Arabidopsis thaliana: one gene and its partners. The protein of the gene in region 3 interacts with the protein of the main gene of each other region in a biochemical or structural test. Each region holds a gene or a part of one and is shown on either strand. Other genes may lie near its edges. The genes, in order: NAC13, SOS1, RCD1 and DREB2A.

Region 1 (4,312 bases), 300 kb from region 3:
TTTATGTGATATCCTGTTTTGTCCAGATGTAAAAACCATCTTAAAGTGTCTGGATGGAATGGAAAACACATTGAAGGTTGGAGAGGCTGAAAAGAACGCAGGAGACGACGTGAGCTGGTATACTCGACTGATCGAAGCGGAAGGGCTAGATAAGATTTTGAACCTGCAAAGACACGAAAACATCGAGATCTACGACAAGGCTTTGAAGATTCTGCAGACTTACTGGCTTGAAGAGGATGATGAGGATATACAACAACCTCCAAGTTAATAATCTAGTTAAGTAACATCATTTGTTCAAATATCCTAAAAGATAAGAAAATTCTTTTGCTTATTTCTATTGGTACTTTTTTAACAATACCAGAGAAAACTTCCAAGCATAAACTGTGATACTAAACAGCTTCTGAATCTAATAATCCAAGAGAATAATTACAATGACTTGACTCTCTAATGGTTCACACAAAACCAAGCCTTTATGTCTCTTAACCTCTTGGATTTTTCGGTTCTCACCATAACAAAGGCCTCCCTGAACCTCCCATTGTTCCTATGATCACCCAAAACAAAGCACATAAAGCCCCAATGATCGATAAGCAAAAGAAACCTTTGTTCTTCTTCTTCTTCTTATCGTTGTTTCCTCCAGACTTGTTCCTCTTCACTGCTGAGTCACTATCCATAACAACAACATTATTACCTGTGCTTTTAGAAGTAAACCTGAAACGACCACCACTGGTTGACATTCTAACAAGGTTCAGCTTCACAAATGGATTCTCTGATGCATATGCTGGCTTTGCAGGAATGGATTCCAGGAAAGTCCATACACTAGAAGCAAACTTACTAGACTCGTCTTTTGACGGGTCATCTTCATTAGTTGTACTTATACCAGAAGGAACAGGGTTTAGGAATTCAGATGAATCACCTGTCAAGGGAATATGATTAGGATAAGAAGCCAGTCGCTTTCCTCACAATTAGATAGAATATTTAGTATGCGAGTGAAAAGAGGTATCTACAGGAAAATCTGTTAGTGCTTTCAAGTACCTGTACCAGGCGCCTCACCAAACCGGGTAACGGTAAGTCCGTCATTGTTTAGCTCCTGCACCCACGATGATCCATTGTTTATCTGTCTGGTATAGCTGTTACGGAGTGGCCAGTTACTAGCTTGGTTCTTCCCTGATTGCTGCTGGAACTGGTTATTATTGGCCTGGTAAGTCATTAAAGAAGTATTCACCTGAAGACTTTGTGCAAACCCATTTTTCAAATCACCACTAACAAAATCTAACTGAGGATTTGTCACTCCCAAATCAAGGAAATATGAATCAGCACCAACGAAATCATCATCATTCAGGAGACCAGAACCATCCTCGTTCCAGTTATTCTCCATGACTTCCACAGAAGTTGGTTCAGGTTCAGGTTCCATAAGATCATTGATTTCCAAATACATATCTTCCTCCAGGTTCTCCAGATTATACGTGTCTACATGAGAGTTCAGTCCAGACACCCCATTCTGCTGCAATGTTGGACCAGACTGATCTCTAACCTGACTCATCAGCTCTTCAATATCATTATCATCCAATTCAGATTGGTTAAGCCCTTTCCCCCATAAACTATTATCAACACTAGCCGAAACAACGAGCTGATTAGCAGGCTCATCAACATCATCATCATCATCTTCAGCCCATTCTTCTTCAATAAAAGGAGCTCCATATTGCTCACCATTCTTAGGACCAGACCCACTTTTCTTATAAATCTTGTAAAGAACATAAGCATCCTTAACATCTTCACCACCACACCTCTTGAGCTCCTCTTTGTGCAATGTATACTCATGCATCACCCAATTAGTCCGTTCGCCATTAGGTGCCCTGCCTCTATGGAAAACAAGAGTCTTCTTCTCTCCAACGGGTCTCGAATCACAATGAATGACTCTATCCTTCCCTGTTGCTTTCCAATAGCCACGTTCAGTAGCTCTACTTGACCTACTTCCATGTTTCCTATCCCTTAAGCTGAAAAAGAACCATTGACGATCTCTAGTCTTATACAACGCTTTCTCTACACAAAAAAAAAGAGTCCATTTTTAAAGTCAGAAGCTAAAAAAAAAAAAACCTTTAGAGTGTAAATCAATCAACCATACATACATATGTAACAATCATGCTTGTTCAAATTGAGCAATCTATGAATGAAACAGATAAAAATCGAAACTTGAAAACAGAGCAAAACATTCCAATTTTGAGGTAAACGAAAGCAAATCAAATGAATTAAAGAGTAAGGAGAAGATTTGAAATGAAGGGTACCAGGTAATTCCTCAGGATCAAACTTATAGACATCAGTCTCGCCGATTGCTTCGACTCTGAGTTTTTTCCGACGGATCTTTCTTTTGAGATAATAGACGACAAGTTCTTCGTCCGTCGGATGAAACCTAAAACCTGGAGCTAAACCTCCGTTCTCAACCGACAAGTCCATCACTTTTTTCTCTCTCGTTATCACAAAAAAAAAAACCCTAAAAAGTTTCGATTTTTCTGTACCAAATGGAAGAAGAGTCTTATTCTGCGGAAATATTTTATTTTTCATTTAATTTAATTGGTGTTTTTTCCTTGGAGAAGAAGGTTTGGCTTACAGAGACGACACGTAGCATCTTTGTTTGCGGAATTATTTTACTTTTCATTTCATTTAATTGTTATTTTCTTTTTCCTTCTGGAGAAGTAGAAGGTTTGGCTTCGAGAGACGTCGTTTTTTCGGGTCGGATACCCATTTAGATTCAAATCGGTATTCCAAATTTTCGGAATTTTGGATTTGAGATAGAAAATCTGTTTGGATATATTTTAGATTTTGGGTTCGGATTAAATGTTTTAATTTCTAATTCGGATTCATCAAAATTTCCAAAAATCAAATATTTCATAACTAAATATATTTAAACTACTCAAAAATATAAAGAATATATATATAAAAAACCCAAAACATTTTTTTAACCAAATTTATTCAAAAATAATTAACTATTTAAAATATTTTAAACATTCAAAAATCCGCATGTTTTGACACTTGATTATTAAAAATATAAATATTAATAATATATTATTACTATGTATTTAAATTGTAGATATGTTCCGATATCAGTTCGAATTCGATTTTTGGATTTTGAAATATAGAATTTGTTCATGTATTTTGAAATTTTGAATTTAGATTCGGATCAGATACTCGGATTCGAATATTATGCCTAACTCTAAACGACACGTAAGATTAGAAACTTGATTATAATAAGCGTGATATTTTATTTAGTAATAATAAATTCATCGGCCTACAAAAACTGTGGGTTTTTTTTTAGATGTCCATGATTTCTCCAAATGACTAGAACACAACCGAAGTATTTGAGAATTTTGTTGAGCTCTTGTATATACAGAAAATAACCCATTGGATGTGTTATTTGAGTTTAGTGTTATATTATATTTGAAAGATTTGACTATCTACCATTTATGTTGTATCTTTTCTTCAATTATATATTATAATATATATTTTTAAAGAGTACATAGTTATGTTTTTATTTTATTTTTTTAGAGATGGAGAGAAAGATGAAGCAGCATCATCATCAGATGTGAAAAAGATTGAGTTTACCTTGTTCTATATTAAGAGGTGTTTTAATGTTCTTGCGCAATTCTCTTTCAAATTGAAATGGTTTGTACTTTGTGCCATTACGATTGATATGCTCTACTGGTATCAAGGATTGAGATTGGAAAATTTTAGGTGTCATTATCAAATTGATTGCAAATGGAGAAGATTAGCTGTTTGTCAAAACTTATAGTATTACAATCATGTTCTATTTTTATTTTTCTTAATATCTAGAAGTTCAATAATGAAGATTTTATATTTTTTAGAAGTGAAATCCATATTAAGTTAAATTCATCTTTTTTAGAAAATAAATCATTTTCAACGTACGTCGAACACAATACTTTCATCTGAAAAATTTACCACTAGCTAACACCACGTTGATTACAATCGGGTTTTATTGTTGTATACAAACTATTTTACGTAAATTATGTGTTTTTTGATTAATGTTATGGTTGAACAAAAATGAATTTGTTCTTCGTTCAATACTTATTTAGATAACACCATGGTGAAAGAAATTGTAAAGTTTTTTTTGCTATTTTGGTGGGGTTTTGGCTTCTTTTATTTGGACTTTATTTTTTATTTTCTTTTGGTCTTAATTTCCAGAATTTCTTCATTCTCTGATGGTCTCTTGTACTTTTATTTGAAAATTTAAATTAAATTAAGGTGAGAAAATAAAAGATTACTCAATTTTAAAATAGCACTTAAAATGCTTTTCTCTTGT
Region 2 (7,793 bases), on a different chromosome or scaffold from region 3:
GTCGTTTTTTTTTTAATAAGTAGCAATTTTCTATTGGTAGAGTGATTCTCTCGTTCTTGTGCTTTCTACTATTTATAGGAGTTTTATTGCATTCCATGTGACTATAACAATCAGTAATGTTCTTTTTACTCTTTAACAAAATCATGATGATGAAGATACAAATAAAAAGGTGGTCAAAAGAAAAAAGATCAATAGTGCCTCGTTTTTTTTTTTCACAATAGTATCTCGTTTATGAAATTGATTAAAGCAAAGCAAGTAAAAAGTATTATCAATTGGAATATAAACCAAATTTTTTGTACATAAAATGAATGATGTAGTAATTTATATACCTGATTATCTTAACTAAACTCAATTTTTTGCAACCAAACCAGATAAATAAGAACACTATAAAATTAAGATGTTAATTACACAGACAATAATTTTATTTATTTATAAAGTTTATTTTTGTAACAGCTCTGATACTTATTGATTTTGCACCTTCTTTGATGGTGGTGGCGAATCATACACTCATCAGCGACCATGATATGTAATCCATCAACGAGTTCTCTCTGAATCTTCTCGCCTGGAACCAGTTTTCCAGAGCATAAACATAAGCCTTAGAACAAAACAAACATCTACTATCCCCTGAACTACTAATGATAGAGTAATCAATGTAAACTCTTTTCCTATTGTAGAATTTACCATTAGACAAATTATTATGCATGTTGTTAGCATCTCTACTCTTGAAAAATCTTCGTAAGCTGATTGGAAAATCAAAGAATAACAAACTAACTAACTAACAATCACTACTCTATAAGCAAATCTTGAATACCAATAGAGATTCTTTATGTTGGATTCTATCTTTGAGCATTTCATTAGGATCGACGGTTGGTCGATTAATCAATACTAACCCAAACAGTCTTTTAACATGCACACTTGATACCTTGTAGGTGCTTCTGGGTAGCATGAAAATGATAATTGGTGTTATTCTGATATGCGAAATTGAAAATGTTGTTGTGCATCAGCTAAGCATAATTGAAAGTTTAAAAAATATTATAAATTTAACGTGAAGAATTGAAAGGTATCAGATTAATGTTTTGGATCAGCCGAATAGAGTCAGGCTAATCCAAATTCTCAAATATTTTCGAAACCTTAAACACATCAAACTCCACGAAGTAAACACACTCACACACATATCAAAATCCACATTATAAATGTATTTTTGGTAGGCTAGTCGTCTAATTCTAAAATAGCCAATTTACATTTGCAATTGTTTATTCAAAAAAGTACAACAGTAAGAGGTCTTATCAATTAAATCATAAGAAAAATATGTCCCAAAATGTCAAAAAACCAACTACGAATATTTCTTTTCCTTTTAAGGCCAAACCAGGTTTTGGAATACTTATTACAAATAAACTCAATTTCAATAAATTCTTGTACACAAATTAAGCACTAATTTCATTGTGAAGATACCATAGTCACATTCACATCTATATGACATCAATCTATAAAATCCAAAACAAACTATATATTATATTTATATTATTTTTTTGTCATCATTATATTTCCATTAATTTATCTAATTCTGGTTCTAATATACTCTTGGTCAGAAAAAATATAAACATTGAAGAATTGGTCGGCTGAAAATTGTGAAAAATATATAGCAGAAAAATATGATAATGTTATCATAAACAAAATTAATAGTAAAATTTAATTTTAATTTAACACTACAGTACTATACACGTGTGTATGTATAGCTCTATAAGTATTTACTCTCTTTCAGCTATTTATTTTTTCAGTGAACGAGCATTCTTCTTCTTCCTCTGTGTTGTTGCTTCTTAGATATATTCAAATAAAATGACGACTGTAATCGACGCGACGATGGCGTATAGATTTCTGGAGGAAGCGACCGATTCGTCTTCTTCTTCTTCTTCTTCCAAACTAGAATCTAGCCCTGTCGACGCCGTTCTCTTCGTCGGAATGTCTCTGGTACTCGGTATTGCTTCTAGGCACTTGCTTCGTGGAACTAGGGTTCCTTACACTGTCGCTCTTCTCGTTATCGGAATTGCTCTTGGATCTCTCGGTTCGATTTCGTTCCATGGAATTTCTGATTTCTTCATCTGTTTTAATCCTTGAAGTCAACGTAATCATGCTTAATTGCTAATTCATGTTGTTTGGTGTTTCAGAATATGGAGCTAAACATAACCTTGGAAAGATCGGCCATGGAATTCGTATCTGTAAGTTTTTAGTTTCGAATTTTTCTTCTCTTCCATGGCTGGCTTTGTAAGAACTATAGAATCAATGTTATTGTGCAGGGAATGAGATCGATCCAGAACTTCTTTTAGCTGTTTTTCTTCCGGCTCTTCTTTTCGAGAGTTCGTTTTCAATGGAAGTTCACCAAATTAAGGTTTATTCCTCTGGCTCTAATTCCTAGTTAAGCTTAAAGGTTAAGAGAAATAGGTACTGAATACTTGCATGATTCTTTAGAGGTGTCTGGGACAAATGGTGTTACTTGCTGTCCCTGGAGTTCTTATTTCAACAGCTTGTCTTGGATCGCTTGTGAAGGTATGAATTAGCCTGGTTGGTATTAAGTAGCTGTCCTGAAAACAAAGAAAGACAAATCGATTATTATGTTATGAAACTATACTTGCTATATGCAGGTCACGTTTCCGTATGAATGGGACTGGAAAACGTCCTTGTTGCTTGGGGGACTTTTAAGTGCTACTGATCCGGTTGCTGTTGTTGCTTTGCTAAAGGAGCTTGGTGCTAGTAAGAAGCTAAGCACCATAATTGAAGGGGAATCCCTGATGAATGATGGGTAAATGACGTTATCTTCTGTCATGGTTTGGTTAGTTTTGACATTTATGCTCACTCTTCATGATTTTTAACAACAATTCCAGGACGGCGATTGTTGTTTTCCAGTTATTCTTAAAGATGGCTATGGGGCAAAACTCTGACTGGAGTTCTATAATCAAATTTCTGCTTAAAGTCGCACTTGGAGCGTATGTCTTGATCTTTTTTCATCTGTTGTTAGTGATATCAAGTTGCTGCTGTGTTCTTATCAGTCCAACGTGTTCTTCTGTCTATTTAGTGTAGGCATTGGTCTGGCGTTTGGCATTGCATCAGTTATTTGGCTCAAGTTCATATTCAATGACACTGTAATAGAGATTACTCTTACAATTGCAGTGAGCTATTTCGCATACTACACTGTACGTCTTTCTGTAGACCTTGAATTCCTGTGCTAAGATATTCTCTTTGTAGTAAAACTGAGAGTTTATTGTGTGACAGGCTCAAGAGTGGGCTGGGGCTTCTGGTGTTTTGACGGTCATGACTTTGGGCATGTAAATTTCAGTGATCTCGTTATTTTTTTTTTCCCTTTCTTTTGTTATCATTTAAGAAGTCTCTTCTCATAAAATAACTGTAACAGGTTTTATGCTGCATTTGCAAGGACAGCCTTTAAAGGTGACAGTCAAAAAAGCTTGCATCACTTCTGGTATTTCCAGAACTTGTGGAATTTGGACTTGTTTTTTTATATTGTAACTCTATGTAAAAGGTTGATCTGTGTGATATAAATTTTCCCGGTAACTTGTGCAGGGAAATGGTTGCATATATTGCAAACACTTTGATATTTATCCTCAGGTAAGGGTAAATTTTATAGACTCATATCATGCTTGTGCTTGCCAACCCTAAAATAGAAGCTCATGGGTAGAAAAAAGAGCTATTTTACTGCAGTCTACTCTTTAGCCTGGTGTTGCAATATTGACTGTGTTTCTCGTTTTATGTTTGCAGTGGTGTTGTCATTGCTGAAGGCATTCTCGACAGTGATAAGATTGCCTACCAAGGTGCCATTATTTAATGTTGATAGTGTACAGTATTTTTTTCCTAGCTAAAGTAAATTTTGTGAACATAGTTTTGTCTGCATTTTCGACAGTTCACTGTTAATTGAAGATGAGATCTAAGTCATTACATAGGACTCCCACCTGTTATCATAGTTTTCTGTCGTTGTTAACACACCTTACTGTTCATGGTCTTTGGTTCTCGAAGGATCACTAATTCCATAACGTGAATCAGTTACAAGAATAAGAAAAAAACTGGCATTATTGGTTACGAAATATTGAGCGAAAGTTACCACTGTGCTAGGACTGAGACAATTGTATTCTTTCACCAGTCTGTTATTATTATTAAGTACCTGTTAGAGATGTACTGTCTTGGAACCATATATTTTTTCTCTGGAACCATATCTGCATAAGGCACATGATATACTTAACTTTAACTATTTTTTATATTTTGGATCTAACAACTCTTCACGACCCAAATTTCTTACAGGGAATTCATGGCGATTTCTTTTTCTGCTATACGTTTACATCCAACTATCGCGTGTTGTTGTTGTTGGAGTTCTATATCCACTTTTATGTCGTTTTGGCTATGGTTTGGATTGGAAAGAATCCATTATACTCGTATGGTCTGGTTTGAGGGGCGCAGTGGCTCTTGCACTTTCTTTATCCGTGAAGGTTAATTTTAAGAACATCTGTTAAAGTTGTTCTTCTCTCTTAAATTTCTGCACAATGTTTTTTTCCAGCCACATTGATTCTGTGCTGACTTACTCGCACTCATTTGATTCAGCAATCAAGCGGAAATTCACATATCAGCAAGGAGACTGGAACATTGGTAAGTTAGTCTAAAGATGTTATTGACAACTTAAAATGATTATGCAAATTATTGTTTTGTCTCTTCATATTCTCAGTTCTTTTGCAGTTTCTTTTCTTCACGGGTGGAATTGTGTTCCTAACTCTGATAGTTAATGGATCCACTACCCAATTTGTTCTACGCCTTCTTCGCATGGATATTTTACCAGCCCCCAAGGTCAAAAACTTCTCTCATACGAATAACTTTCCGAGTTTTAAGTAATCAAATATATGTGTAAACAGAGATTTTTTTGCTTATGCTTTGTATTCATGTGTAAGTGACCGTGTTAGCCTGAGTCTGAGCCTTTAAGCTGTATAGTTCAATAGGGTCTGTATGTTCTAGTCAGTAATGTATTCGAAGAACCTTATTAGAAACCACTTTCCTTTTGACAGAAACGAATATTGGAATATACAAAGTACGAAATGTTGAATAAGGCCTTACGAGCGTTTCAAGATCTAGGAGACGATGAGGAGCTAGGACCTGCTGACTGGCCTACAGTTGAAAGTTATATTTCAAGCCTAAAAGGTTCAGAAGGGGAACTAGTTCATCATCCTCACAATGGCTCTAAAATTGGAAGTCTTGACCCTAAAAGTTTAAAGGACATACGTATGCGGTTCTTAAATGGTAGTTATGATCATGTACCCTCCAATATACTATTTTACCTGGTAGATTATTGACACTTTGAAAATTGGTTGTGTCAGGTGTGCAAGCAACTTACTGGGAGATGCTTGATGAGGGCAGAATATCTGAAGTTACTGCTAATATTTTGATGCAGTCAGTGGATGAGGCGCTTGATCAGGTTTCTACAACTTTATGTGATTGGAGAGGTCTAAAACCACATGTCAATTTCCCAAATTACTACAACTTTCTTCATTCTAAAGTTGTCCCACGCAAGTTGGTCACATACTTTGCTGTCGAAAGACTAGAATCTGCTTGCTACATTTCTGCTGCGTTTCTTCGCGCACATACAATTGCACGACAGCAATTGTATGATTTTCTAGGTATGTACAATCCATACTCTGCAGTCTGCATCACACTTTGAAAACAATGACTAAGAATAAAACTTGTACCGTATCATCATTAATTGTCAGAGTTTTTGTTTGCAAGTATCTCAACTTAGTAAGAACAATACATTAACCCAACCCTAGTTTTGTCTCATACTTATCTATCTTCTCTACACAGGGGAGAGTAATATTGGTTCCATTGTAATCAATGAAAGTGAAAAGGAAGGAGAGGAAGCAAAAAAGTTCTTGGAAAAAGTCCGATCTTCATTTCCTCAGGTTGAGAGTCTTGTCATTTCTTTCGGGTGACTTATCTTTCTTGCGGTGAGGCACATATAATCTTTGATTAACATTGGTTTCAGGTTCTCCGTGTTGTGAAAACAAAACAAGTAACATATTCAGTGTTGAATCATTTACTCGGTTACATTGAAAACCTCGAGAAGGTTGGCTTGTTGGAGGAAAAAGAAATCGCTCATCTTCATGATGCTGTCCAGGTACCAAATTAAAGAATCTCATTCCTTCAACTATAGTCTTGTCTCTTTTGTCTTATGCTTTTGGTCAAATCTATCTCTGCAGACCGGCTTGAAAAAGCTTTTGAGAAACCCTCCAATAGTTAAACTTCCAAAATTGAGCGACATGATCACCTCACATCCGTTATCGGTTGCTCTTCCTCCTGCATTTTGTGAACCTTTAAAACACTCGAAAAAAGAACCAATGAAACTGCGTGGTGTCACGCTTTATAAAGAAGGTTCAAAGCCAACTGGAGTCTGGCTTATTTTTGATGGCATCGTTAAGGTAACCCAAAACTTATCTTTTACTTTTAACTCGTAAGTCTGTATGATCTATTACCTTCATAACTGAATGTTATAACAATCCTACAGTGGAAAAGTAAGATCTTAAGCAACAATCACTCGCTGCATCCAACTTTTTCTCACGGTAGTACATTGGGACTCTACGAAGTCCTCACTGGGAAGCCATATCTGTGCGACTTGATTACAGATTCTATGGTTCTTTGCTTTTTCATTGATAGCGAGAAAATTCTATCACTACAATCAGATTCTACCATCGATGATTTCCTTTGGCAGGTACGTCTCTATTAGAATCCATTTTAGAGAGACTCATTTCTTGATTGTTAAGTTGCTTCAACTTTTTTCGGTTTTTTTTGTTTGCAGGAAAGTGCATTGGTTCTTCTCAAACTCTTGCGTCCTCAGATATTTGAAAGTGTGGCAATGCAAGAATTACGAGCCCTTGTTTCAACTGAAAGCTCGAAACTTACAACATATGTGACGGGAGAATCAATCGAAATCGACTGCAACAGCATTGGTTTATTATTAGAAGGATTCGTAAAACCGGTTGGTATCAAAGAAGAGCTTATATCATCTCCCGCCGCATTATCACCTTCTAACGGGAATCAAAGCTTCCATAATTCATCAGAAGCTTCAGGTAATTAATTGCACAGTACAGCAGGATCAAACCTTTTTAAATGTCAGCGAATGATATAAATCGAATTAAATCAAAAATGTGTTTTGTTTTTTTGACCACAGGTATCATGAGAGTCAGTTTCTCACAACAAGCAACACAGTATATTGTTGAGACGAGAGCAAGAGCAATCATCTTCAACATTGGAGCATTTGGAGCTGATAGGACTCTACATCGAAGACCATCTTCGTTAACACCACCACGTAGCTCAAGCTCTGATCAGCTTCAGAGATCATTTCGTAAAGAACACAGAGGTCTCATGAGCTGGCCTGAAAATATTTACGCCAAACAACAACAAGAGATCAATAAAACGACATTAAGTTTATCTGAACGAGCAATGCAACTCAGCATTTTCGGCAGCATGGTAAAAAAGATCTCAATGTTGATTCTTTTAAAGGTTGTTATCGATGAACTTCTCGACTAACCTGAAGGTTTTTATCTTCTGATATTCTCGAATATAGGTTAATGTGTACAGAAGGAGTGTAAGTTTCGGTGGGATCTATAATAACAAGTTACAAGATAACTTGTTGTACAAAAAACTTCCACTAAACCCAGCTCAAGGTCTCGTTTCAGCCAAATCAGAAAGTTCAATTGTGACCAAGAAGCAGCTTGAAACCCGTAAACATGCGTGTCAGCTTCCTCTGAAAG
Region 3 (6,516 bases):
TTTATGGACGGAAGTTTACTTACGGGAATGATGATACATGGGATTCAAAGTGTCGACGGCGGAGATGAATGAGGAGGAGCAGATTGGACACCGTTAAAGACGAGATCTTGGTGGTATGTGCCTTGCAAAGTCTGATGTCGGGCACACGTCGATCTCTTTTGGTGGTGAATTCAATCTGGTTGGTGAAATAGGAAATTGAATTTGTTCCCAAAAATAAACGGATCCCGAATATCCGCGGATATCCAGTTTTTTCACGGATATTCGAAATCCGGATATCCGAGGTTTACGGATCCGGATGCGGATCCTAAAACTACATATCCGCCGGATACGGATACGGATCCGGATACTCCAAAAAACCCGGATATCCGGATCCGTAACAGGCCTAATCGTAGGTTGGTAAATTCTAGAAAAATAAGAGATATAAAAACTATATAGTTGTGACATATTCATTATTCAATATGAGCCATGGCTACACAAACTATATAGTTGTGACATTTTCATTATTCAATATGAGCCATGGCTACACAAACTATATAGCTGTGACATATCATACACAGAATAATATTCCCATGAATGCATGTATATATAGATCCTTTGGTTTTCCACCGAATAGTACAAACGTGTATATGATAAAAGTTTAGTCTTGAATTTTATAGATCTTACAAGATTGGGAAGACAGCCGTTTTCGGTACCAACTAAACCCGTAGTCACGGCCGGTCCATCTTAATATGCTGTCTAAAGCCCAAAAAATAAAAACTGGCCCATTATAAAACAAAGTTGAAAAAAATTGCGAGGTACAATTTATCAACTAAGTATTCTTCATCCGTCTAGACATCAAAAGAGTTCTAACTCTCTCCAAGAGATATCGATCTAGTGTTCTTTCTTAAGCCAATCGAAATGTTATTTATCCATCCTCAAATTAGCCAATTCCAAATATTGTTTTCAAATTATAGCCTTTTCCAAAGATTGTGTTTTCAATGAATAATTGTAGAAATTTAATTTTGATAGTTTTTTTATAAGAAAACTACGCAAAAAGTCCAGACTTAATATCCAAGGTGATATCTTTTCCAAGTCAATAGTTCATTGACTATTATGCGTATCTTCTATGTTTTAAAATAAAATAAATTTTGCTAGTTTAGAAATGTGATAATTATTGGAAGTATATCAATGGAATTTTTTATATCTCATTTAGTATGTCTAATTTTGAAAGTTATCTGTATTGAAAATGATTAAATATTCTTACCCTTATAAACCATATATCACTTCAAAATTTATGCTATTGTAGTATTGTTTATAGAAAAACGGAAAAATAAAAATCATTACAAATAAACGCGGCAATGAAACAGAAAAAATAAAAACCATTAAAAATAATCGCGGCAAATTTAAATAACGGCTATCGAAATAATGAAAATTATTTTTTGTTAACAAACATTTTTCTGGAGAAAGTTTTTAAAAATTGATTAAATATTCTTATAACTTTGTAAAATAATATTTTCAAAAACTTCTAAACTATCCTCAACTAATAAAATTTTATTTGCCACTTGCAATACAACTAAAACTTTGTTAGACCTTGTACGCAATAAAGAAAATATTTTTCAATGTCGATAGCTATCTCCATTCCAATGGCCCCCCTAGTCTATTCATCGATTCACAATCTTATCAATCATGTTCCGTCAATACACACTTTTCTAATTTCAACAATTTTATAATTGTTGCCCTCGTTACATTTAATTGTAATATTTTTGTTCTCCTCATGATAATATTATTCCATTATTGTATTCGACCATATCTATCTGCGTGTATTGACCGCCTCTTCAATTAAGTCACCACCCAATAAGATTTCGACGTTGACTGACCGACTTGTAGCTTTAATAAAGCCCACATGATTTGCTTTTCGTCCAAGCAAATTTTTGGTTAGAGAAAGAGGAAAAAAACTCAGGAACCGCCGACTTAAGAATTTCTTCTTCATCATCTCTCCAATATCGCCGATTATATATAAATGACTCTTCGATTCTGTTTCTTCTTCGTCGTCATCGCCGGCTTAGGGTTTTCTCTATAAGCAAATCTTATCTTCTCCTTTTCCTCCGTTTTTTCTGGTCAGCTTTTGCTTTTAGATTACCCTTGTTGCCTGCGATCGATCTGAAAAAAGAGGTCCGTCATGTTCATGTTCATGTTCAGTTTCTTTTCGTTTTGTTTCAATTCTTCTCATGCGATTTGAGGATTTTTTTTTTTATCTTGAATTGTTTTTTTTTGTTGAAGTCGATGATTGTAGATCGGCTTAGATTCGTTTGATTTTGAGTGGTTTTGTGTTGTTTTGATTGAGTTTTTGGATGATTCGTGTGATTATGCTTACGATCTGTGTTTTTTCGTCTCTGATTTTAGTTTATTTTGAAAATCAGTGAAACTGCGATTGATTTGGTTCGATTTGTGGATTTTGTGAAGCAACAGAGCTATTTTGACTTGAGAGATGAATTTTAATTTTTATTGAAAGCTAAAAAGTTGCTGGTTTGGATGTTGCAGGAACTTTATCTTGCTGACGGCTGTTATAAAAAGACGTGGCATTTCTTCTCTGATTGTGTTTATTTTTATGACGGAGAAGATGAACACACTTGTAATCTATCAGACTCTAACTGTTACTGTTGGGTGAGTTTCAAGCTCATGGCTTGGGTTTATTGTTCTCATTTTTCTGTGTTGGTGATTGGGTTTACTTGTTTTTGTTGGTTTGTTTCTGTGTTTATCTTTAGTGTCTCATAGGATCGTTCTTGTTGAGTGTGATGTTCATTTCTTATTGCTTCATTCCTATGTAGGTTGATTTGTACCTTCCGTCTTTGTAATGGATCTTTGTGCTCTTTATAACACAAGATACAACAAGAAGTAATGAAAGACTGTTCATAATGTTACTTACTGATGGAAATTGTAGCAAATGTCTTTTGTGAAGGAATGATATTACAGGATCATAGGTCTCATATAGTTATGCTGATTCTTTCTTGTTTACTGATTCTTTATCATGTAAACTGTGAGGAGTTTTTGTTTGACTCTATTCTCTGTAATATAGTTGTTCAATATTTTAAGCCTTTTCCATTTCTTTTGTGCAGTGTTTTCTAATGCTGTCGGCAAGACACTATCTTTAGGACTGCTAGGGAGTTTAGAGGTTACACAGTTGACTTTTTCTATCAAGGTTATAGGTTTAGTATTGTTAATATATAGAAATGGAAGCCAAGATCGTCAAGGTGTTGGATAGTAGTAGGTGTGAAGATGGATTCGGAAAAAAGAGGAAGCGCGCAGCAAGCTATGCTGCATATGTTACTGGAGTTTCGTGTGCAAAGCTGCAAAATGTGCCCCCACCGAACGGGCAGTGCCAAATTCCTGACAAAAGAAGAAGGCTGGAAGGTGAAAACAAGCTTAGCGCTTACGAGAATCGCTCTGGGAAGGCGCTGGTCAGATATTACACTTATTTTAAGAAGACTGGAATCGCTAAACGTGTTATGATGTATGAGAATGGCGAATGGAATGATTTGCCTGAGCACGTTATATGCGCCATCCAGAATGAATTAGAAGAAAAGAGCGCCGCAATTGAGTTCAAGTTATGCGGTCACAGTTTTATTTTGGACTTCTTGCACATGCAAAGACTAGACATGGAAACAGGAGCAAAAACCCCTCTTGCATGGATTGACAATGCAGGAAAGTGCTTTTTCCCTGAAATTTATGAGAGTGATGAAAGGACCAATTACTGCCATCATAAATGTGTGGAAGACCCAAAACAGAATGCTCCTCATGATATCAAACTTCGCCTAGAGATTGATGTTAATGGTGGCGAGACACCGAGGTTAAATTTGGAGGAGTGCAGTGATGAGTCTGGTGATAATATGATGGACGATGTTCCCCTTGCTCAACGATCTTCAAATGAGCACTATGACGAGGCTACGGAGGATAGCTGCAGCCGCAAGCTCGAAGCTGCTGTTTCGAAATGGGATGAGACTGATGCTATAGTCGTCTCTGGTGCCAAGCTTACGGGAAGCGAAGTACTTGATAAAGATGCAGTAAAAAAAATGTTTGCTGTAGGCACAGCTTCTCTAGGACATGTACCAGTGCTGGATGTGGGCCGTTTTTCCAGTGAGATTGCTGAAGCTCGTCTAGCACTTTTCCAGAAGCAGGTTGAGATCACTAAGAAACATCGAGGGGATGCAAACGTTAGGTATGCCTGGCTTCCTGCAAAGAGGGAAGTTTTATCAGCAGTGATGATGCAAGGACTTGGAGTTGGTGGAGCATTTATCAGAAAGTCCATCTATGGTGTTGGGATCCATTTAACCGCTGCAGACTGCCCTTATTTCAGGTATTTGCCTCGTATTCATCTGTTTTTTTCATGTTTAGATCGTATATTTTACCTTCCTCTGCAATAGGTTCTTTGTGTGTCAAGTACTAACTATGAACTTGTTTACAGTGCTAGATACTGTGATGTTGACGAAAACGGAGTACGTTACATGGTTTTATGCCGTGTGATTATGGGGAATATGGAGCTTCTTCGTGGTGATAAAGCTCAGTTCTTTTCTGGTGGAGAAGAATATGACAATGGAGTCGATGACATTGAGAGTCCAAAGAATTACATTGTCTGGAACATCAATATGAACACACATATATTCCCGGAATTTGTTGTTAGGTTCAAGCTGTCTAATCTCCCCAATGCTGAAGGTGATTAGTTTGTTCTTTTTTTTGTTCCTCACATTCTATCTTCCCCCATTCAAATCAACTGATGACGCATTGAAAGGGAGACAGCTTAGAGATCTGGCTGAAGCTCAGGTCTCAACTGATAAATTTAGAAAAAAAAGTTCCATGTGTGATAATGATAAACCTAACGACCTCCGGTGTTATAACACATTTGGGTTTCAAGAGACAAGTCTCTGATTCATCATCCGGGGGTCGGATGTGATACTCACGCCTTAATGGGTATTTCGATCCATCAAAATTATGTTTTGTGTAGTATTAGAAGTCCGATGACATACACTGGTTTCTGCAGGTAATTTGATTGCTAAGCGTGATAACTCAGGGGTCACTTTGGAAGGACCTAAGGATCTTCCTCCTCAATTGGAGTCAAACGTGAGTTTGGTTACTTCAGTTTTTCTTTGTATGATCTTATTAAAGAAGAGGGACTGAACAACTATATGTGGTGTTGTTGTGTTTAAAAAGCAGGGAGCAAGAGGTTCAGGAAGTGCAAACAGTGTTGGTTCAAGCACTACAAGACCCAAATCTCCATGGATGCCATTTCCTACTCTGTTTGCAGCAATCTCACATAAGGTTGCAGAGAACGACATGTTGTTGATCAATGCTGACTACCAACAACTGAGGGTATAGAAAAAAACTGATTCTGAGAGTTTGCTTTATGATTGGTAATTGCATAAGCTGGAATACATAAGAAATTTGTTGTGCAGGATAAGAAGATGACGAGAGCGGAGTTTGTCAGGAAACTGCGGGTGATTGTAGGAGATGATCTGCTAAGGTCCACCATAACAACCCTTCAAAACCAGGTAAGATAGTAGTAGTAGAGATATTGTTGTTGATCATAAGTTTACTTTGTAAACGGAAATGCTCAACAAAGGTTTTTTGGTTTTAACTTCAGCCAAAGTCGAAGGAGATTCCAGGAAGCATCAGAGACCATGAAGAAGGTGCAGGTGGATTGTAAGTAAAGTGGATGATGATGATGACGAATATCAAAAGGAAGCTGCTTTTTATCTATCTACCTGCCTTTGTGGTTCTCCTTTTGACTTTTTCTAATTTTAGACTTTTGGTTTTGGGTCGGGTCGTTGGTAGAGTTTAAAATGTGTCGACTTTTCTTTCTGTCGTGAAAAATCGTACTATATTATATGATTCTACTTAGTCAATGATGTCGTTGGGTCTTTGTTTCTTTAGCTGCAAGCAAAACATTGTTGTGGAAGTCGTTGAATCTTGACGAAAATTTGGTCGTTAAGCCTATCGCGTGAAACTTTTCTTCACTATACTTTTTCTCATTATTCTGTTAGCTTTATTAGATGCCTCACATTTGTGTGAAGGATTATTTAAGAGTATGATAACTGGTCACCTCTGGGTTCCTTTGACACTTGTGTACTACGGGTAAATCAAGACTAGAGGAATACCAGGAGAAAATAGTGTTGGTCCTCTCCTCCCCTTTAGAGCTCTATATGATGCGCACTGAGTAAGCTTGGCCTCTGACGATGAGAAGCTAGTGGATATCTCGATATTCTAGGTCCAATCAGTTCGATTTTATGGAGTCTCTGTGGAGTAGAGTAAACGGTCAGTTTGGGATCTCTTTCTCTATAACAGCGATTTGGAATCTGATCCGAGTGGTTCACCCAAAAGTACAATGGTTCTGGCTGTTTTCTTTTCATGGTTATAATCTGAAGCATTATTTTATTCCTTTTTGTTTGTGTTGTGAGTCGGCATTTTAGCTTTAAACGAATTTAAAACCGAGGAATTGATGATGAGCCTAACTCTTGCATATTACAGAGGATTGGAGCCATGTAT
Region 4 (4,089 bases), on a different chromosome or scaffold from region 3:
TTTTTTTCATAAGGTCAACGACCCTTGGGATGTTAACAGAGCCAAGTTTAGTGAGCACTATGTGCTCGTTTTTTCTTAACACAATTCTAACGTGGTTTGGCCAAGCCAAGTCAACATTTTACTTACATCTCGTTTTCCAATAATGGTTTTGTAATCGATAACCTAAATCATTGTAATGAATGCGTTCCTCCCTATCGATCCTAGGCCTTAGACAATGCTGAATGATTCATAGCCACGCGAATAACCTATTCATACTAATATGGAAAGAAAGAAGCCAAACTTACAGAGCTCTTCTCACGGTCGTCGAAGAAAAGAGAGTCTACAGTCAGCAACAAAATTAGTGTTGCCATCATGGCATCATCTTGCAGCTTTTTCCGCACAAATAATTTATCATCCAAATGTTGTTCACTAAACCAAAAACAAACAAGCATTACAGCGAAGAAACCAACTCGTAGATACAGATTTCCAAATTCATGCCTTATTTAGACCAATAAAAACTGAAATTTCTCTTCAGCGAAAAAAAAAACAAACAAACTGAAATTTCATATAGATCCAGAAGATAGAAACTTGTAGGCTCAATCGACTAGACTAGAAGATGCTCACCCGATCGTGCTTGAGATAGCGAGATAGTAGCAACACCGACGGTAGAAATAAAATGGACGACACCCATCCAATGGGCTAATTTAGATTAACGGGCTTTAAGGGTTTGATAATGGATGTTAATTAACTGAGGCACATGGGATTGTATCACGTAGGCAATGGGTTTGATAATGGATGTTAAGTAACTAAGGCCCATGAGGTTGAAGTACGTAGGCAATTGCGTGAGCTTACGTTAGCGATGCCGTTAGAGACACGTAGTGGATGAAGTGGCTTTGGTTAGCAAAGGACACATGAGGCACATGCAAAGGCTATAAATGACTGCTGCTTTGCTACAACTTGCGATTCCCAAATTTTATAAGGTAATGGACCCTATCACCTCTGCTCGAAGCTAAGCCACCCAAGTTTGAGCTTCACCATTTGACACGTCTCTAGCTAATACTTAATGCTTAAACTTTAAACTAATACTTCATGTTTAAGACATTTCTGGCTGACACATTTATGAATTCGCTCTATGTCGTACGTACACCGGAAACCTTTAATTTTACAATATTAACCGTGATCTTTTTAAAAATATCTATATAAACGATAAGTATCTCATCAAAACAAAATTGAATAATGTGCACGTTTGTAAAAACTAGAAAAACAGGCAATAAACATCATCATCCAATTACACATCTAGTAAGTGTGATGCAGTGGCAAACTGGCAATAAACCAAGAAAAATCGAGAAAGAGCAGATGAGACAGTGTTGTGTTGTCAGGGTTAATAAAAAAAAAATGAAGATATTTTAAAATTTCATAATATTTAAATAATGAAGTAGTTTTATGATCTTATCCATAAATCAATTTTAAAAAGGTTTAAACTTTACTTTTCCGTATCAACAGCGTGTTTCGAGAAGATTCGGGAGGACACTCGTCGAACGGAAAAGTCGTCTAAGCCTTTATGTTCGAATCAAAAACTGACACGTAACCTTGCTCTCAAACAGAAAAATAAAATAATGTTAGAAAAATCTAGAGAAGGCTATAAATACTCCGTAGATACTTTGTCTTCCTTAGATATTTTGATTTCTGCTAAAGCTGTCTGATAAAAAGAAGAGGAAAACTCGAAAAAGCTACACACAAGAAGAAGAAGAAAAGATACGAGCAAGAAGACTAAACACGAAAGCGATTTATCAACTCGAAGGAAGAGACTTTGATTTTCAAATTTCGTCCCCTATAGGTACGTTGATTTCTGATTTCTTACAAATTTTCAATTAATTTCTCTGATTAGGTCTCGTCAATTGGTGATTCTAGGGTTTATCTTCGTCTTTAGGTTTTCGATTATTTCCTTTTAGGTATAGCTGTGAAATTGGGAAATTTTAGGTGTTCCTAATTTGATAACAAATAAGTAAATCGATCTGATTTTGAACCAAGTTTAAGTTCTCTTGCCTTATGTTTCAGCTTGTGTTCTGATATTGAAGTGTTGTTGTATTGTAGATTGTGTTGTTTCTGGGAAGGAGATGGCAGTTTATGATCAGAGTGGAGATAGAAACAGAACACAAATTGATACATCGAGGAAAAGGAAATCTAGAAGTAGAGGTGACGGTACTACTGTGGCTGAGAGATTAAAGAGATGGAAAGAGTATAACGAGACCGTAGAAGAAGTTTCTACCAAGAAGAGGAAAGTACCTGCGAAAGGGTCGAAGAAGGGTTGTATGAAAGGTAAAGGAGGACCAGAGAATAGCCGATGTAGTTTCAGAGGAGTTAGGCAAAGGATTTGGGGTAAATGGGTTGCTGAGATCAGAGAGCCTAATCGAGGTAGCAGGCTTTGGCTTGGTACTTTCCCTACTGCTCAAGAAGCTGCTTCTGCTTATGATGAGGCTGCTAAAGCTATGTATGGTCCTTTGGCTCGTCTTAATTTCCCTCGGTCTGATGCGTCTGAGGTTACGAGTACCTCAAGTCAGTCTGAGGTGTGTACTGTTGAGACTCCTGGTTGTGTTCATGTGAAAACAGAGGATCCAGATTGTGAATCTAAACCCTTCTCCGGTGGAGTGGAGCCGATGTATTGTCTGGAGAATGGTGCGGAAGAGATGAAGAGAGGTGTTAAAGCGGATAAGCATTGGCTGAGCGAGTTTGAACATAACTATTGGAGTGATATTCTGAAAGAGAAAGAGAAACAGAAGGAGCAAGGGATTGTAGAAACCTGTCAGCAACAACAGCAGGATTCGCTATCTGTTGCAGACTATGGTTGGCCCAATGATGTGGATCAGAGTCACTTGGATTCTTCAGACATGTTTGATGTCGATGAGCTTCTACGTGACCTAAATGGCGACGATGTGTTTGCAGGCTTAAATCAGGACCGGTACCCGGGGAACAGTGTTGCCAACGGTTCATACAGGCCCGAGAGTCAACAAAGTGGTTTTGATCCGCTACAAAGCCTCAACTACGGAATACCTCCGTTTCAGCTCGAGGGAAAGGATGGTAATGGATTCTTCGACGACTTGAGTTACTTGGATCTGGAGAACTAAACAAAACAATATGAAGCTTTTTGGATTTGATATTTGCCTTAATCCCACAACGACTGTTGATTCTCTATCCGAGTTTTAGTGATATAGAGAACTACAGAACACGTTTTTTCTTGTTATAAAGGTGAACTGTATATATCGAAACAGTGATATGACAATAGAGAAGACAACTATAGTTTGTTAGTCTGCTTCTCTTAAGTTGTTCTTTAGATATGTTTTATGTTTTGTAACAACAGGAATGAATAATACACACTTGTGAAGCTTTATGGGCCTTAGTGTGTCTCACAATATTTGAAATCGTAAGAGGAAAAACTATACGATCTCCACAAAAAAACTCATCATTGGATTGAGTCTTAGGAAGTTCTCTAGGGATTAGAGGGCAGCTTTATTTAACATTAAGCAGCTCGACATCAAAGACCAGCCAAGAGTCAGGGGGAATGCTACCAGCACCTTCCGCACCATACCTGTGAGCCAGACAATTTTATCATCTCTCATTAAAAAAAGCTTAAAATAAAACATCACATTATGGAAAAATAAAAAAAGATTTGCAAAGGCTTTACCCCATTTCTGGAGGAATTGTAAGCTTTCTTTTGCCACCAACAAGCATTCCTTTAGAAATTTACAAAAAGAGATCAAAACAACACACCATTTGACCATATTTAGTGAAGAAAAACCAGTAAGAAACTAGCTAGGTTACCATTAAGGCCAACATCCAATCCCTTAATGACTTTTCCAGCATCTGTATGTGTAACAGCAAGCACATAAGTATCCAAGTACCACTCACACATTAATAAAGCTCTTACTTTCGCATCAAGTTATAATACCAACCTAGACGAAACTTATAACGTGATTTTCCAACGGTGGAATCGAAAATCTTCCCATTCCCCTGAAGCTTTCCAGTATAATGGACACTTACCTGCACTCAGAGACAATAGACTGACCTCCAACAAATATTTGCACACAAACTACAACAGTTTAGGACTAAATG

The links.
Region 1: the proteins of RCD1 (region 3) and NAC13 form a complex in vitro, tested with the Arabidopsis thaliana proteins (one study listed by BioGRID).
Region 2: the proteins of RCD1 (region 3) and SOS1 form a complex in vitro, tested with the Arabidopsis thaliana proteins (one study listed by BioGRID).
Region 4: the proteins of RCD1 (region 3) and DREB2A form a complex in vitro, tested with the Arabidopsis thaliana proteins (2 studies listed by BioGRID).

What each region holds. Positions count from the first base shown.
Region 1 is NC_003070.9:11,909,884-11,914,195, reverse strand, and holds NAC13 (NAC domain protein 13), read right to left. Parts: upstream 2,566-4,312; 5' UTR 2,560-2,565; coding exon 2,283-2,559; intron 2,041-2,282; coding exon 1,033-2,040; intron 914-1,032; coding exon 504-913; downstream 1-503. Other genes in the region: AT1G32880 (ARM repeat superfamily protein), read left to right, coding at 1-268. UniProt on the Arabidopsis thaliana protein: Transcriptional activator activated by proteolytic cleavage through regulated intramembrane proteolysis (RIP). Involved in oxidative stress tolerance by mediating regulation of mitochondrial retrograde signaling during mitochondrial dysfunction.
Region 2 is NC_003071.7:455,234-463,026, forward strand, and holds the start of SOS1 (sodium proton exchanger, putative (NHX7) (SOS1)), read left to right. Parts: upstream 1-1,768; 5' UTR 1,769-1,836; coding exon 1,837-2,062; intron 2,063-2,165; coding exon 2,166-2,216; intron 2,217-2,294; coding exon 2,295-2,386; intron 2,387-2,466; coding exon 2,467-2,544; intron 2,545-2,639; coding exon 2,640-2,797; intron 2,798-2,879; coding exon 2,880-2,981; intron 2,982-3,070; coding exon 3,071-3,188; intron 3,189-3,267; coding exon 3,268-3,320; intron 3,321-3,406; coding exon 3,407-3,472; intron 3,473-3,573; coding exon 3,574-3,618; intron 3,619-3,768; coding exon 3,769-3,821; intron 3,822-4,305; coding exon 4,306-4,490; intron 4,491-4,602; coding exon 4,603-4,647; intron 4,648-4,734; coding exon 4,735-4,842; intron 4,843-5,057; coding exon 5,058-5,289; intron 5,290-5,366; coding exon 5,367-5,666; intron 5,667-5,847; coding exon 5,848-5,945; intron 5,946-6,028; coding exon 6,029-6,160; intron 6,161-6,242; coding exon 6,243-6,461; intron 6,462-6,547; and 7 more. UniProt on the Arabidopsis thaliana protein: Acts in electroneutral exchange of protons for cations such as Na(+) or Li(+) across plasma membrane. Involved in Na(+) and K(+) homeostasis.
Region 3 is NC_003070.9:11,610,218-11,616,733, forward strand, and holds RCD1 (WWE protein-protein interaction domain protein family), read left to right. Parts: upstream 1-1,900; 5' UTR 1,901-2,151; intron 2,152-2,520; 5' UTR 2,521-2,643; exon of another isoform or gene 2,644-3,095; 5' UTR 3,096-3,209; coding exon 3,210-4,333; intron 4,334-4,441; coding exon 4,442-4,689; intron 4,690-5,014; coding exon 5,015-5,094; intron 5,095-5,184; coding exon 5,185-5,343; intron 5,344-5,426; coding exon 5,427-5,522; coding exon of another isoform or gene 5,523-5,531; exon of another isoform or gene 5,532-5,614; coding exon 5,615-5,677; 3' UTR 5,678-6,001; downstream 6,002-6,516. Other genes in the region: AT1G32225 (uncharacterized protein), read left to right, coding at 1-72. UniProt on the Arabidopsis thaliana protein: Inactive ADP-ribosyltransferase that functions with SRO1 to regulate oxidative stress, hormonal and developmental responses. Required for embryogenesis, vegetative and reproductive development, and abiotic stress responses.
Region 4 is NC_003076.8:1,600,554-1,604,642, forward strand, and holds DREB2A (DRE-binding protein 2A), read left to right. Parts: upstream 1-1,651; 5' UTR 1,652-1,816; intron 1,817-2,073; 5' UTR 2,074-2,096; coding exon 2,097-3,104; 3' UTR 3,105-3,486; downstream 3,487-4,089. Other genes in the region: AT5G05420 (FKBP-like peptidyl-prolyl cis-trans isomerase family protein), read right to left, coding at 3,487-3,565, 3,662-3,710, 3,799-3,840, 3,930-4,017. UniProt on the Arabidopsis thaliana protein: Transcriptional activator that binds specifically to the DNA sequence 5'-[AG]CCGAC-3'. Binding to the C-repeat/DRE element mediates high salinity- and dehydration-inducible transcription.